2 linked regions of the Saccharomyces cerevisiae S288C genome follow. The gene in region 1 interacts genetically with each later gene. Each region holds a gene or a part of one and is shown on either strand. Other genes may lie near its edges.

The links.
Region 2: mutations in YTA12 (region 1) and HKR1 are lethal when combined (synthetic lethality), as found in Saccharomyces cerevisiae (one large-scale study listed by BioGRID).

What each region holds. Positions count from the first base shown.
Region 1 is NC_001145.3:445,077-449,988, forward strand, and holds YTA12 (m-AAA protease subunit YTA12), read right to left. Parts: upstream 3,011-4,912; coding exon 533-3,010; downstream 1-532. Other genes in the region: VBA1 (Vba1p), read right to left, coding at 1-26; YMR090W (uncharacterized protein), read left to right, coding at 4,169-4,852.
Region 2 is NC_001136.10:1,304,673-1,312,232, reverse strand, and holds HKR1 (Hkr1p), read right to left. Parts: upstream 5,967-7,560; coding exon 558-5,966; downstream 1-557. Other genes in the region: ARO80 (Aro80p), read right to left, coding at 1-193; RAD30 (DNA-directed DNA polymerase eta), read right to left, coding at 7,161-7,560.

The sequences.
Region 1 (4,912 bases):
TTTGAAGTCTCGTCTAGTGTTTGCATTCTTCTTGTTCCCTCAACAACTAGGGCTCTGAGCTTAGTGAAGAACAAAGAGGAGACAAAAAACAAAATAATTCGATAGAAAAAAATCGCTGCTGTATTCTTATATTTTGGGAATGTGGGTTGGCCTAAAGTGGAACCGCATGCTCTTCTCTATCACCGGCCCTTAAGATGACCTACGTTTATTGTCGGACAGATATCATCCAACAAAACGACGCAGTGAAAAAGTGTATCATGCGAATACTGAAGATAAGATAGGCTAAGCCGTGGAATCAGCGATAAAAAAAAGATCGCGTGTATTAACCAATGACAGCCTCACAGAAGCGCTTTGATCATATATAGATATAGGTGCATTTATACACGTATATATATTTACATGTTTTCAGATTAGATTATATGGTAAATACGTGACAGTGTTCTACCGAAAAAGAAAGATGTCTGGCTTTCAATAAAATAAGCAAGATATGTAGAACAGTCTTCCTCCATTTCTTTGTATTGTGAAATATCAATCAGTTTGTAGATGGCTTAGGCTCATTACGTTTTTCGTTTTTTTCTTCTTCCTTCCTGATTTTTTCCGTTTCGTAATCGTTCAAGTACTTATCAAAAGCATCATTCCTTTCTGGGAAAGGGCGCTTACCAAGTAAATCAATCATATCTTCTCTTGTCAAAACTTCTTTTTTCAGTAGTACTTGAGCAATCTTCTCTACATCTTCTGCTTTTTCTTTAAGCAGCTTTGTACATCTGTCATGGCATTCTTGGACGATTCTGTATACTTCGGAATCAATAATGTCACCTGTCTCGTCCGAAAATGGTTTTGTCAAATCGCTATCATCTCTCTTCTGGTAATTGACCCAGCCAATTTTATCACTCATGCCTAATTCTGTGACCATTGCCGTGGCCATGCTAGTAACTTTTTTGAAGTCATCAGATGCGCCACTTGTAACTGATGGGAAATGTAATTCTTCAGAAACTCTTCCACCCAGAGACATGGTCATTCTGTCCTTAAGTTGCTGTTCAGTTAGTAAGAAGATATCACCTGGCAAATACTGTGCATAACCAAGGGCGCCCTGGCCACGTGGAATAATACTGACTTTCAGAAGAGGATCTGCGTATTTTAAGTACCATCCACATACAGCATGACCAGCCTCGTGGTAAGCCACTACTTTCTTCTCTTCGGGAGAGAGTAGCTTGGATTTGCGTTCCACTCCACCGATGACTCTTTCGATAGCTTGTTCAAAATGATTCAATTTTACTGCATCTTCATCACTTCTAGCAGCAATCAAGGCGGCCTCGTTACAAACGTTGGCAATATCAGCACCAGAAAAGCCTGGCGTCAAAGCCGCTAATCTATTTTTCAAATCAAAAATTTCCCCGGCAAGTTTCAAATGATGTAAATGAACAGCAAAAATGGCTTTTCTACCCTCAAGTTCGGGCTTGTCGATATTGATATGCCTGTCAAATCTACCAGGCCTTAATAATGCTTTATCGAGAATATCGGGTCTATTGGTACCAGCTAAAACAACAACGTGGTCAGCTGGAGTGAAACCATCCATTTCTACTAACATTTGATTTAGCGTGTTCTCTCTCTCATCATTGGCACCTGAAAAATTACCCTTTTGTCTTGCTTTTCCTATAGCATCAATTTCGTCAATAAACACAATTGAGGGTGCATTTTCTCTTGCAGTTTTGAACAAATCTCTTACTCTTGCTGCACCAACACCAACAAACATTTCTACAAATTCTGAACCAGAAACAAAATAAAACGGAACACCGGCTTCACCTGCTGTTGCCTTTGCAAGCAAAGTTTTACCGGTACCTGGTGGACCAGATAGAATCGCACCTCTAGGAATTTTAGCTCCCATTTTTTCATAACGAGAAGGTTCTTTCAAGAAGCTAACAAACTCCATAATTTCTTCCTTAGCCTCATCGCATCCGGCAACGTCCTTGAACTTGATCTTAACGTCTGTTTCAGTGTTAAATTTTTTAGCCTTAGAACGACTCAGACCAAATATGCCTCCACGGCTACCGCCCGCTGCTTGTGCCGATCTTCTTGTCAACCAAATAATACCTGCAATCATTAAAACAGTTGGCAAAATTTGGAACATAGCTTTAGCCCAATTGCCTTCTTGAACATATAGTACAGGTATTCTGAAATCCTTATCAATGTCCAGTTCGTCCTGTGCTTTCTGAAGTTTGTGTTCGAAGCTATCAATTGAACCAATTGTGAAATAATAGAAGTTGCGACCGTAATTGTCGGCTTGGTTTTTTCCGTTGTCATTTAACATCACTTTCACCATGGACTTGTTGACAACAATCAACTTCGCAACATAACCTTTTGCCAATAGTTTCTCTCTAAAATCCTGCCACGTTATCTCACTTTGCTCTTCCAAACTGTTGAGGAGATCCAATAAAAACGAAAGGAGGAAAAAAGTTAGTCCTATCTGGAATAAGTTAACATTTTTCGATACAGGATTACTAGGATCATTTAGAGGTGGTTTTGGGGGAGGAGGTGGTGGTGGCGGTGGAATATTTCTGCTATTGTTACCTTCAAAGTAGCCCTGCTCTTTTGTTCTGTTTGACTTGGCTTTTGAAGGACCATTTTCCTCCTCTTTTTCCTTTCTTTCTTCTTGAATTCTGTTAGATTCTTGTTTCAATACAGCATCTTCTAAACGCCTAATACTTTCATCAATTTTGCGTTTCTGTTCTTTCCAGTTAGCCGGTATAGTATTATTTTTAGTTTGTTCGATATATTTTTCTACTTGTTTTCTTATTGCTTCAACCTCTTCGTCTGTGGGAATTTCTTTGTTAAGTTTAGCGTCTTCGTTATTGTCCTCGTTCTTGTTACCGCTCTTATTCTCTTGCAGCCTATTGAGTAGCCGATATTGAGTATGTAAACTCTTGATATGGGTCAAGCCGTAATAGGACCGGAAGCGAACGGGCCTTCTAACTACCTTAGTAGCAATTCTTGACCAAGAAAGTAGCAACATTAGTACTCTTTCTAACTTTAAAGTTGCTTGCCAAGACTCTTGAGTGTGCTATATTGTATTCGTTGGCAGCTCAAAATCTTTCCTTTAAAACTATAGTGGCAAAAGTTAGAGATCGTTTTCACGAGAAAATGATGGGGAAAAATGGACCAAAAGACAAATGTATTCACAATGTGACACCAGATAGCTTGGTGATTAGTATATAGATCTTACAGGACACCGAATAATACCAGAAGGGACTTTCTTATTGAACGAACCGATATGTGCATGCGTTATCCTATAAAGAAATACGTCCGGATGGGATATTCAAACAAGACGCCGGACAAAATAATTCACACATATGGAGGATGTTACGTACATGAGCACAAGACGAACCGTACAAAGAGAAACATACATCATCACTCAGACGATAAGATCATAAATTAGCAGATGACACTTTAGTTTATTCTCTTTGGTAGGTTTTCTACAATCAGAATTATCTAACGGCGAACTTCTGTAGGCAGAGTTTTCGCATCGCCCAATGAGATAATGCACTTTCAAAAGACCACGCTGCACTTGCATCAAATTGGTTTACGAAAGAGCAAAGTCGAGGATTAGCACATTCCGTGTGCCCATACGTTACCATTTTTGACAAAGTTGGCAACATCAAGCGAGACATATCTACAAATATACGTATCAGAATTGTACCCGAAGTATTTCTGGTTATATTCGTTGCTAACCATTTTAACGTATTCAGCCTAGTAGCCTGCAAGAACTATTAATACAAATCGTGAAACAGAAGTTCTTTGAGTTAAAGTACAAAGACAGACAACAGCCCTCGGTGAACCTGTTGGTGTGTGTTTCCTGTATCACAAAACACAAGCGAGCAAAGAAATACGACGTTATAGCTTTTAATAATACGACGAGACAATGTTAGTGGCCGTAATAACTTTCCAACAAAAGTACTTTCCAAACTTTGCTGTTACCTCTGTGATTGTTTAGTACGAAAATTGTATCGCGCTGTCAACAGCAAGGGGCTGCAAGTATTACGTAAGGGTACACTCGAAGTAGGGATATATATTTAAAGTCCCATCGTGACGCTCATAATAGGATACTTTCCCTCCAAATAAAAATTCATTGAAGTTATATCATCGGTATTCATATATTATTGACTTAACAGCCATGTCTCCTATGAAAGTTGCGGTTGTCGGTGCCAGTGGTAAAGTTGGACGTTTATTGATAAACCAATTGAAGGCCAACGATAGTTTCTCAACACCATTAGCGATTGTTAGAACACAGGATCAAGTCAATTATTTCAAGAATGAAGTAGGTGTTGATGCTAGTTTGACAGATATAGAAAACGCGTCCGTTAGTGAGATCACAGACGCTATTAAGGCTTATGATGCCGTGGTCTTTAGCGCCGGTGCGGGTGGTAAAGGAATGGAAAGAATTTTCACGGTTGATCTGGATGGCTGTATCAAAGTTGTTGAAGCATGCGAAAAGGCTGGTATCAAAAGGTTCGTTGTTGTTTCAGCGCTCAAGGCGGAGGATAGAGATTTTTGGTATAACATTAAGGGTTTGCGTGAATACTATATTGCAAAGAGATCTGCTGATCGTGAGGTTAGAAACTCTAATTTGGATTACACTATTTTACAGCCTGGATCGTTGGAACTAAATAAAGGTACCGGTCTTTTGCAACCCCTTGACAAATTAGAAGAGAAGGCTTCTGTTAACTACTCCATTAACAGGGAGGATGTAGCTTCTTTTATTGTGGAAAGCTTGCTACATCCAAATGCAACAGTGAAAAAAACCATTTCGTTGGTAAATGGCAACGAGCCAATGGAAAAATTCATTCAAAGTTTGTAGATCAACCTATTTACGCGTGAAATGCATATGTAGATGAATAGTCAAGAAAAGAAAAAGAAA
Region 2 (7,560 bases), on another chromosome or scaffold:
CCTTATTAGAGCTAAAAATACATTTTTTTAGCTCCCTTTTGCAACGTGCACACGGTGGGTCGTGTGGGTTATCAACCGGACCAAGATCACATTTCACCTTCCTTGATCTGCAGCTGATGCAAGCTTGGTAGGTTCTTCTCCGTTTTGGAAGTTCAAATGCTGCGTTTCCCGAAGGCCTTTTCTTAGCAGACATAGAGGATAAAGCAGTGCTTAATGTAACCTTATTATGCGTGGATCATATATTCCCACGACTAACTTGATATTATTGCTTTAATTTATTCTCGCTCTTTTTTCATTGGTTAGTTACTATCTTCATTTATCTCGGTTATCATCGGATAGAATAGTGTACTCTCGTTGATTCCGAAAATATTAAAAAAAAGCCTTCATGTATTACTAAGAAGGACTCATAAAATTACAAATGCAATACTTGATGATATATATAATAATAGTAATGGCGTGAGCCTATGTGTATTAATGGGTATCAATTTTTGTGATCATCTTTTGTTGCAAGCGCCCCTTCCAGCAGCGTTTATTGCACAGTCAATAATCATTTTTCGCTATATTTTTGTCGTTTGATGGTTCTGTTGTTTTATAACTTTCGACATTCTCTTATAAAGTTCTTCGTCTAAAGCATCCAGCTCCTCGATATGTACATCTGAAACACTACCATTGTCGTCAATATCCTCTATTTCTAAATCTTCAAGATTAGAGAAAAGAGTCTGATTTGGCTTTGGTAGTGAAGATTCTGTGTAGCGTAATGTGTGAAGTTTAATCGAATTTGTATGAAGGGGTGTGGTATAAGCGGTACTTGGCAAACATGTCTGACTCCCTGTAGAAAACTCATTCGTAATTTGATTTCCAGTATCGGGATCATCTGTAGTACATGATTCAGTGCCTAGTCCATGAAGTTTAGTTTCGCACAAATGGTTCTTGTTATAGTTTTCAATAACTTCGTCTGGCAAGTGAAAACTGTTTGACTCTTCATTGTCAGAATAACTGTCGTATAATCGAATATCACCATTTTCATCAACATCTAGAATGCCTGATATGGACTCCTCATCATTCAAGAAGGCTTCCGTAGCATCTTGGTTTTTGTCATACACGCAGTCTCTTACTATACTGTCTATTCCCGAACCATCATCCCCATTGGTTTGATCAAAATCGAGGGGGATTGCGTCCCTGTACAATAGATCACCGTCATCATTAATGGTATAATGTAATCTGTGAATAGTATTATAGACTGTGTTTTCGCCAGTCACAATATAATGATCATCTACCGCAGAGTAAACACTTTCATTTTCAGATTCTGGCGGCTTTTCATTATAAACTTGGTTTCCAGAAGAAGAGCGGGAAAGCTCGGTACTTTCAAGTTCCCTCTCATTATTGAGGCTTTTCCCTATGCAGTTCCTTGGGTGTCTTTTCAATAATATATTTCTATGACGGAAAGCAAAAAATGCAACGAATAACCACAAGAGTACGCCAATAGTTAAAACAATCAAAAAGATGATTATTTTTACAGCATACTTTCCTGCAGATGCAGAATCTGTGAATGAATTGATAAAGTCATCCAAAGCTCCATACTTGTAAGTTCCATCTATGTTTTGGGAATTTCCTTTTGAAGAATCCAAGACGCTTGATGAGGTTAAACTAGGGACATAACCACCATCTCCAGAGCCATATAACGTCAATCCCCCTAATGGGATCCCACTATCTATTAGACCAGCTAAACTTCGCAGTGGGGTTTGAGGATTGCTATAAAGAGTCGAATTTTCATCAAGGATTAATTGCTGAAGATATGTTACGGCTTCTGTTGGAAAATATACCTCTGCAACTGATACAATGTATGCCTTAGAAGAGTCTACCATGGGAACAATCTTTTTCACCGCTATTGAGGATGTGTCGACTTGTGGAGGATGTAAGTCCTCGGTTGACTTCGTGGCATTTTTTTTCTGCTGGTTTTTTTTTTTCTTGACAACTGATAATGATGATATGGATTTTGGGGAAAGGGTAGTTGTGCTGCTCCCAGACCGGTATGAAAGAATAAAAGTGGATAATTCCCCAATACTATTGTCCAGTTCTGATGAGGTGTTTGAAAAGGGATACTTCAAAACGAGAGGTAAAAAGTTGAAGATTTGAGCCGAAGATAATGGATTTTGAACCAAAAATACATAATTCAAAGCGGCCGTGAATCCGATGGTAATTAAAGTGTGGTTAATGGGTTCCGATACAGCGACGGCCGGTTCAATTGCATTGGGAAGTGAACCAGTGATTGACGGATTGAATGATGCGGTAGTGGGGCCCGTTTCGGATGATTCCACTATAATAGCGGTAGGTAACCATGCGTAACTATTTGGAGAGGGGTACGGAGTAGTAGGATAGGTAGACAAGGCAGGGGCTGTGAATACTGAATTAGTGCTTGCCTGAGTTTGAACTGCAGTCGTAGCAGGTCCAATTGAGATTTTTGTAAAAGACCGAGAATATGACCCACTGGTTTCAGAAGAACTTTTGTATTGCGTCTTTGTTGTGGTTAAGCCGGTTTCCTCGCCATTTTCGCCCATGGTTTTCGATACTTTCCTGGATAAACTTTTCGAATCAACCTTTGTATTTGTGGAGAGCGATGGGTTAGATGAAATATGTGAACTTTGTAAAGAACCTACAGAATTCCTCCCTTCGGATTTTTCAGACTGACTATTTGCTCGTAATGTTGATGTAAAGCTTGTGATTCTTTCTTGTGTGTTTGAAACAGATTTACTTGCAGGTATTGTTTCTTTTGAAAGTTTTATTGAAGATATTGATGAGGATGAGTAGCCAAATGAGGTTGCACTTTTTGACGAATCGACAAAGTTATGTGATAGTCCAGTCACAGAATTATGAGAACTTGGAATAGATAAAGAATATGCGTGCGAGCTACTTGAAATTGTAGTTATCTCTGTAGGAGTAGCGGAAAACTTTTCATTGTCTGGTTTCGCCGCGGAAGATGTGTATAGGAAATTCGAAACAACTGTGGATCTGCCACTGGTCTCAGTATTCTTGTTCGCCGTATCGTATGGATTTTTTGTACTGCTAGACAGCTGGCTCTGTAGTGAACTAATTTTAGCTGAGTTTTTGGGGCTTGTTATGCTTGCTTGGGTCGATGAAATTATCAGAGAAGTTTCAACCAAATTCGAAGCTGAAGGGTTGAAAACGGAAAGCGCGCTTGAATGTATTTCGTCATTTAAAGTTGAGCTTGTAGAAATTTGCTGAGAGACTATACTTTGGATTGCCATCGAAGTCTGCAGTAAGAAATCCGTAATCCTGGACAATGTGCTATGTATTTGAGTTGGTGCTATTGTGGATGTTGTTGAGTACCGCTCAGAAGAAAATTCAAACGCATAAGCAGATGAAAAGTATGTGTAAGTAGAAGAGGTGGGTAAAGAAGTAGATGGGGAAGGTGAAAATTCATATGTAGCAATGGACGATCTGGAAGCAGAAGATGATAGAGAGTAAACAATATCATATGGAGAGGATGAGGAAGTAGATGACATGGCGACAGAAGCAGAAGGTGAAGGCGTGTAACCGGATGATATGGCAGCAAAAGTTGATGGAGAGTAAACAATATCATATGGAGAGGATGTGGAAGTAGATGACAGGACAACAAGAGCCGATGGTGAAGACGTGTACGTCGAGGATACTGCAACAGGTGCCGATGGTGAAGACGTGTACGTTGAGGATATTGCAGCAGGTGCTGATGGTGAAGACGTGTACGTCGAGGATACTGCAACGGGTGCCGATGGTGAAGACGTGTACGTTGAGGATATTGCAGCAGGTGCTGATGGTGAAGACGTGTACGTCGAGGATACTGCAACGGGTGCCGATGGTGAAGACGTGTACGTTGAGGATATTGCAGCAGGTGCTGATGGTGAAGACGTGTACGTCGAGGATACTGCAACGGGTACTGATGGTGAAGACGTGTACGTTGAGGATATTGCAGCAGGTGCTGATGGTGAAGACGTGTACGTCGAGGATACTGCAACGGGTACTGATGGTGAAGACGTGTACGTTGAGGATATTGCAGCAGGTGCTGATGGTGAAGACGTGTACGTCGAGGATACTGCAACGGGTGCCGATGGTGAAGACGTGTACGTTGAGGATATTGCAGCAGGTGCTGATGGTGAAGACGTGTACGTCGAGGATACTGCAACAGGTACCGATGGTGAAGACGTGTACGTTGAGGATATTGCAACAGGTGCTGATGGTGAAGACGTGTACGTCGAGGATACTGCAACAGGTGCCGATGGTGAAGACGTGTACGTTGAGGATATTGCAGCAGGTGCTGATGGTGAAGACGTGTACGTCGAGGATACTGCAACAGGTGCCGATGGTGAAGACGTGTACGTTGAGGATATTGCAGCAGGTGCCGATGGTGAAGACGTGTACGTCGAGGATACTGCAACAGGTGCCGATGGTGAAGACGTGTACGTTGAGGATATTGCAGCAGGTGCTGATGGTGAAGACGTGTACGTCGAGGATACTGCAACGGGTACTGATGGTGAAGACGCATAGGCAGAAGGTACTACAACAGAAGCCGATGGTGAAGACGTGTACGTCGAGGATACTGCAACGGGTACTGATGAGAAAGATATGTAAGCAGATGGAAAAGGAGCAACGCCAAAGTGAGAGGAAACGGATGCAGATAAGGATGGGGAAGAATAAAGGGAAGAAGAAATATAAGTCGACGAGGAAGTCGCATGAACAAAGGTTGAATGGACAGAGCTGTATGGCACTGTATTGGTGCTTGAAGTTGAAACAACAGTATCCGAAGCACTGCTAACTATAAAGTTTGTCGTGGAAATCGAAGATACTGCGAAAGTGTTAGATTCACGGCTTACACCTTGACTTGCCTCTGAAGATGTTTCGGCAGTGGAAGAAGTGGCCGGGCGATCGACAATCAGTTCTTGGTCAGGATAGTTGCCAGCACTTAAGTCATAATATGTGGAAAGCTCTACTTCACTCATACTAAAACTATCAATTGATGTAGTTTGCGTTATGCTAGAGGGCCGGGATACTCCAACAGCCACTCGGCTGCTCTCAGAGGTTTCAGTTGACGTTGTTTGGCTATAAGAAGATGAAAAGCTGGTAATGGGGGAGCTAGATGTCTTGTCTGCAGTCGACTCCCCTCCAGAATAGACGGTTGAACTTGAACTGTAACTTTCAGAGAGCTGGGATTTGCTCATGGCATATTCTTCTTCGACTGAATTTTCAAACGATACAGTGTTGGAAAAATCTGTTTGTGTTGATTCACTACTAAAGCCATCTATTGTTGAAGCTGCCGTTATGCTGGAGATTTGTGAAACTCTGGTTACCATTTGTGCAATTCTCGTTGTTTCACTGATACTGGAAGTTTGAGCCAATGTGCCTTCTTCTTTGGAAATTTGAGAATCTGTGGTTATTATTGGACTTATTTCCCTCGGTACCGCTGAACTATCGGATGTGGATATTATTACGCTACTTGAGGATTCCGAGGAGGTTGTATCGCTATCTGACTCCGCCACGGACTTCGGATTGTGACTAAGCGTTTGTGATATTTGTGATTCATCGCTATAGGACTGCAAAGGGGTGGGTACAATGCTACTACTTGGTGTCGCTATTTCCGTAGACTTTTTTACTGATGACATCGTGTCAGAAGTTTGCGTTGTCGTCGTCACACTAATATACTGGCTGGACGTACCAGTTTCTTGTTCATCCATTATTGTTGTGCTTCCACTTTCACCATATTGGCCAGCCATTGTGGTGGTTTCAGAGCTTGATGTTATTGCATTCTCTTTGTTGCTAGATCCGGTACTGGATATCGCGGATGTTGAATATGAGGGTGTGCTTTCTATTCCATTATTGTATGAAGTTGAATATATTGTATCGTTACTATAGGCCTCGATTGCATTTAACAATGACACCAGGAGTAAAATTTTTTTTATTTTCAATGAGACCATCTTTATACATTCTCTGTTTCTGACTGTTGACTGCGTCAGTTGAGGAAAAAGATATCGCAAAAATTTCAATAATGTGGGTGCGGAATCAGTTAGTTACTGGTTAAAGAATGATAATAAAATTGATGATATGGCAATTGATTATAAACGGAAAATGTTTACAAACAAAGTTAGTGCTCTAAGTTGTAAACTTTCTCTTGATTACAATGCAGGAAGCAGTACAGCGAAATATCCAAACGAATGAAATGACTACAGGTGCCTACGAGGGACACTGCTTTTAAATCGCTGTAACTACTGTCTTTGAATAAGCCCTCCAATTAACTAATCTAAATATTCCTAAATTAGTTAAAAAAATTTTCTGCAACCAAACGGGTCAGAAAGCGAAATATCTTTAGCGCGTTGTGGAAAAGAACAAACTGCTATTAATAGAAAGTCTAAGACTTTTGATAATAAGAAACGAATACTTGAGTGATAACGTTGTTACACCTTTTAAAGAAAAAAACAAAAGAAATTGACTGACAAATTTTGTTGCTACCAAATAAAAACATTAAAAATAACGACAACTGCAGGACTCGAACCTGCGCGGGCCAAAGCCCAAAAGATTTCTAATCTTTCGCCTTAACCACTCGGCCAAGTTGCCTTAATTTGTATTGTAATCTGGTCTTCAGAAGAGTAATGATAGTGTATAACTTTTTTATGATGTATAATATTACTTGCATTATTATTCTTCAGATTTGTTTTTAAACAGCGTTACTTTGTAACATGAGATTGTGTGTATCAAACCAATTCCTGCTTTAAACGCATCTAATTGATTAAGTCCCCTGAACAATCAGCTGAGGTCAGAGATCATGCTTCCAGCATTCATTATCACATGGATCTTATATATTATGAAGGTATGTAATATTCTGTGAGTCATGTCTACAAAAATAAATTATAACAAGTTGTTTCTTTTTTATAGACTTCCAAATCTCTATCAAGAAATCCTAGTATGAATATTGTACATAATGTTATCACTTTGATCAAAAGCGAAGTCTCAAAAGTCATCAGTCGGTATTTTCCGATCATAAGATATTAAAGGTACTTCGTTCTTCTTATCAACAAAACCTGGCGCCCGTGAATCATTTAGAAATTTTGGAAAAGCAATATTATCAGGACGTTTTAGTTGCTGAAGCCATATAATTGTCTATTTGGAATAGGTCATTTTTTTCTTGTAAAAAATGATAAGATGTTTTTGGAAGATGTAACTTGTTTCTTCTGAGGTGTGGCAGTATGTTGTGAGTTTGGTCTTTTCCGTGAAAACAACAATCTTTTTTCCCCGAAAGAAAGGTTTTTGGATGATTCTTCAGCACCATTTAAGCCTTCCGACAGTTTCAATGCTAAATGATAGTCTGCGTGCTCTTGAAGAGCCTTCTGGTCTGTAAAAGTCACCTGGTATTTACAACATTCCAACTTCGGAGTTTTCTCGTCAGCTTTCGAGCTGGTAGTTTTTTCCTCATCTTCCTTGCCTGCTGAGCTTTTGAAAGTATGGACCTGATTGCCAAACATATCTACAACAGTTTTTTGTAAATCTATAATATCGAAATTAGTAATTGTCATA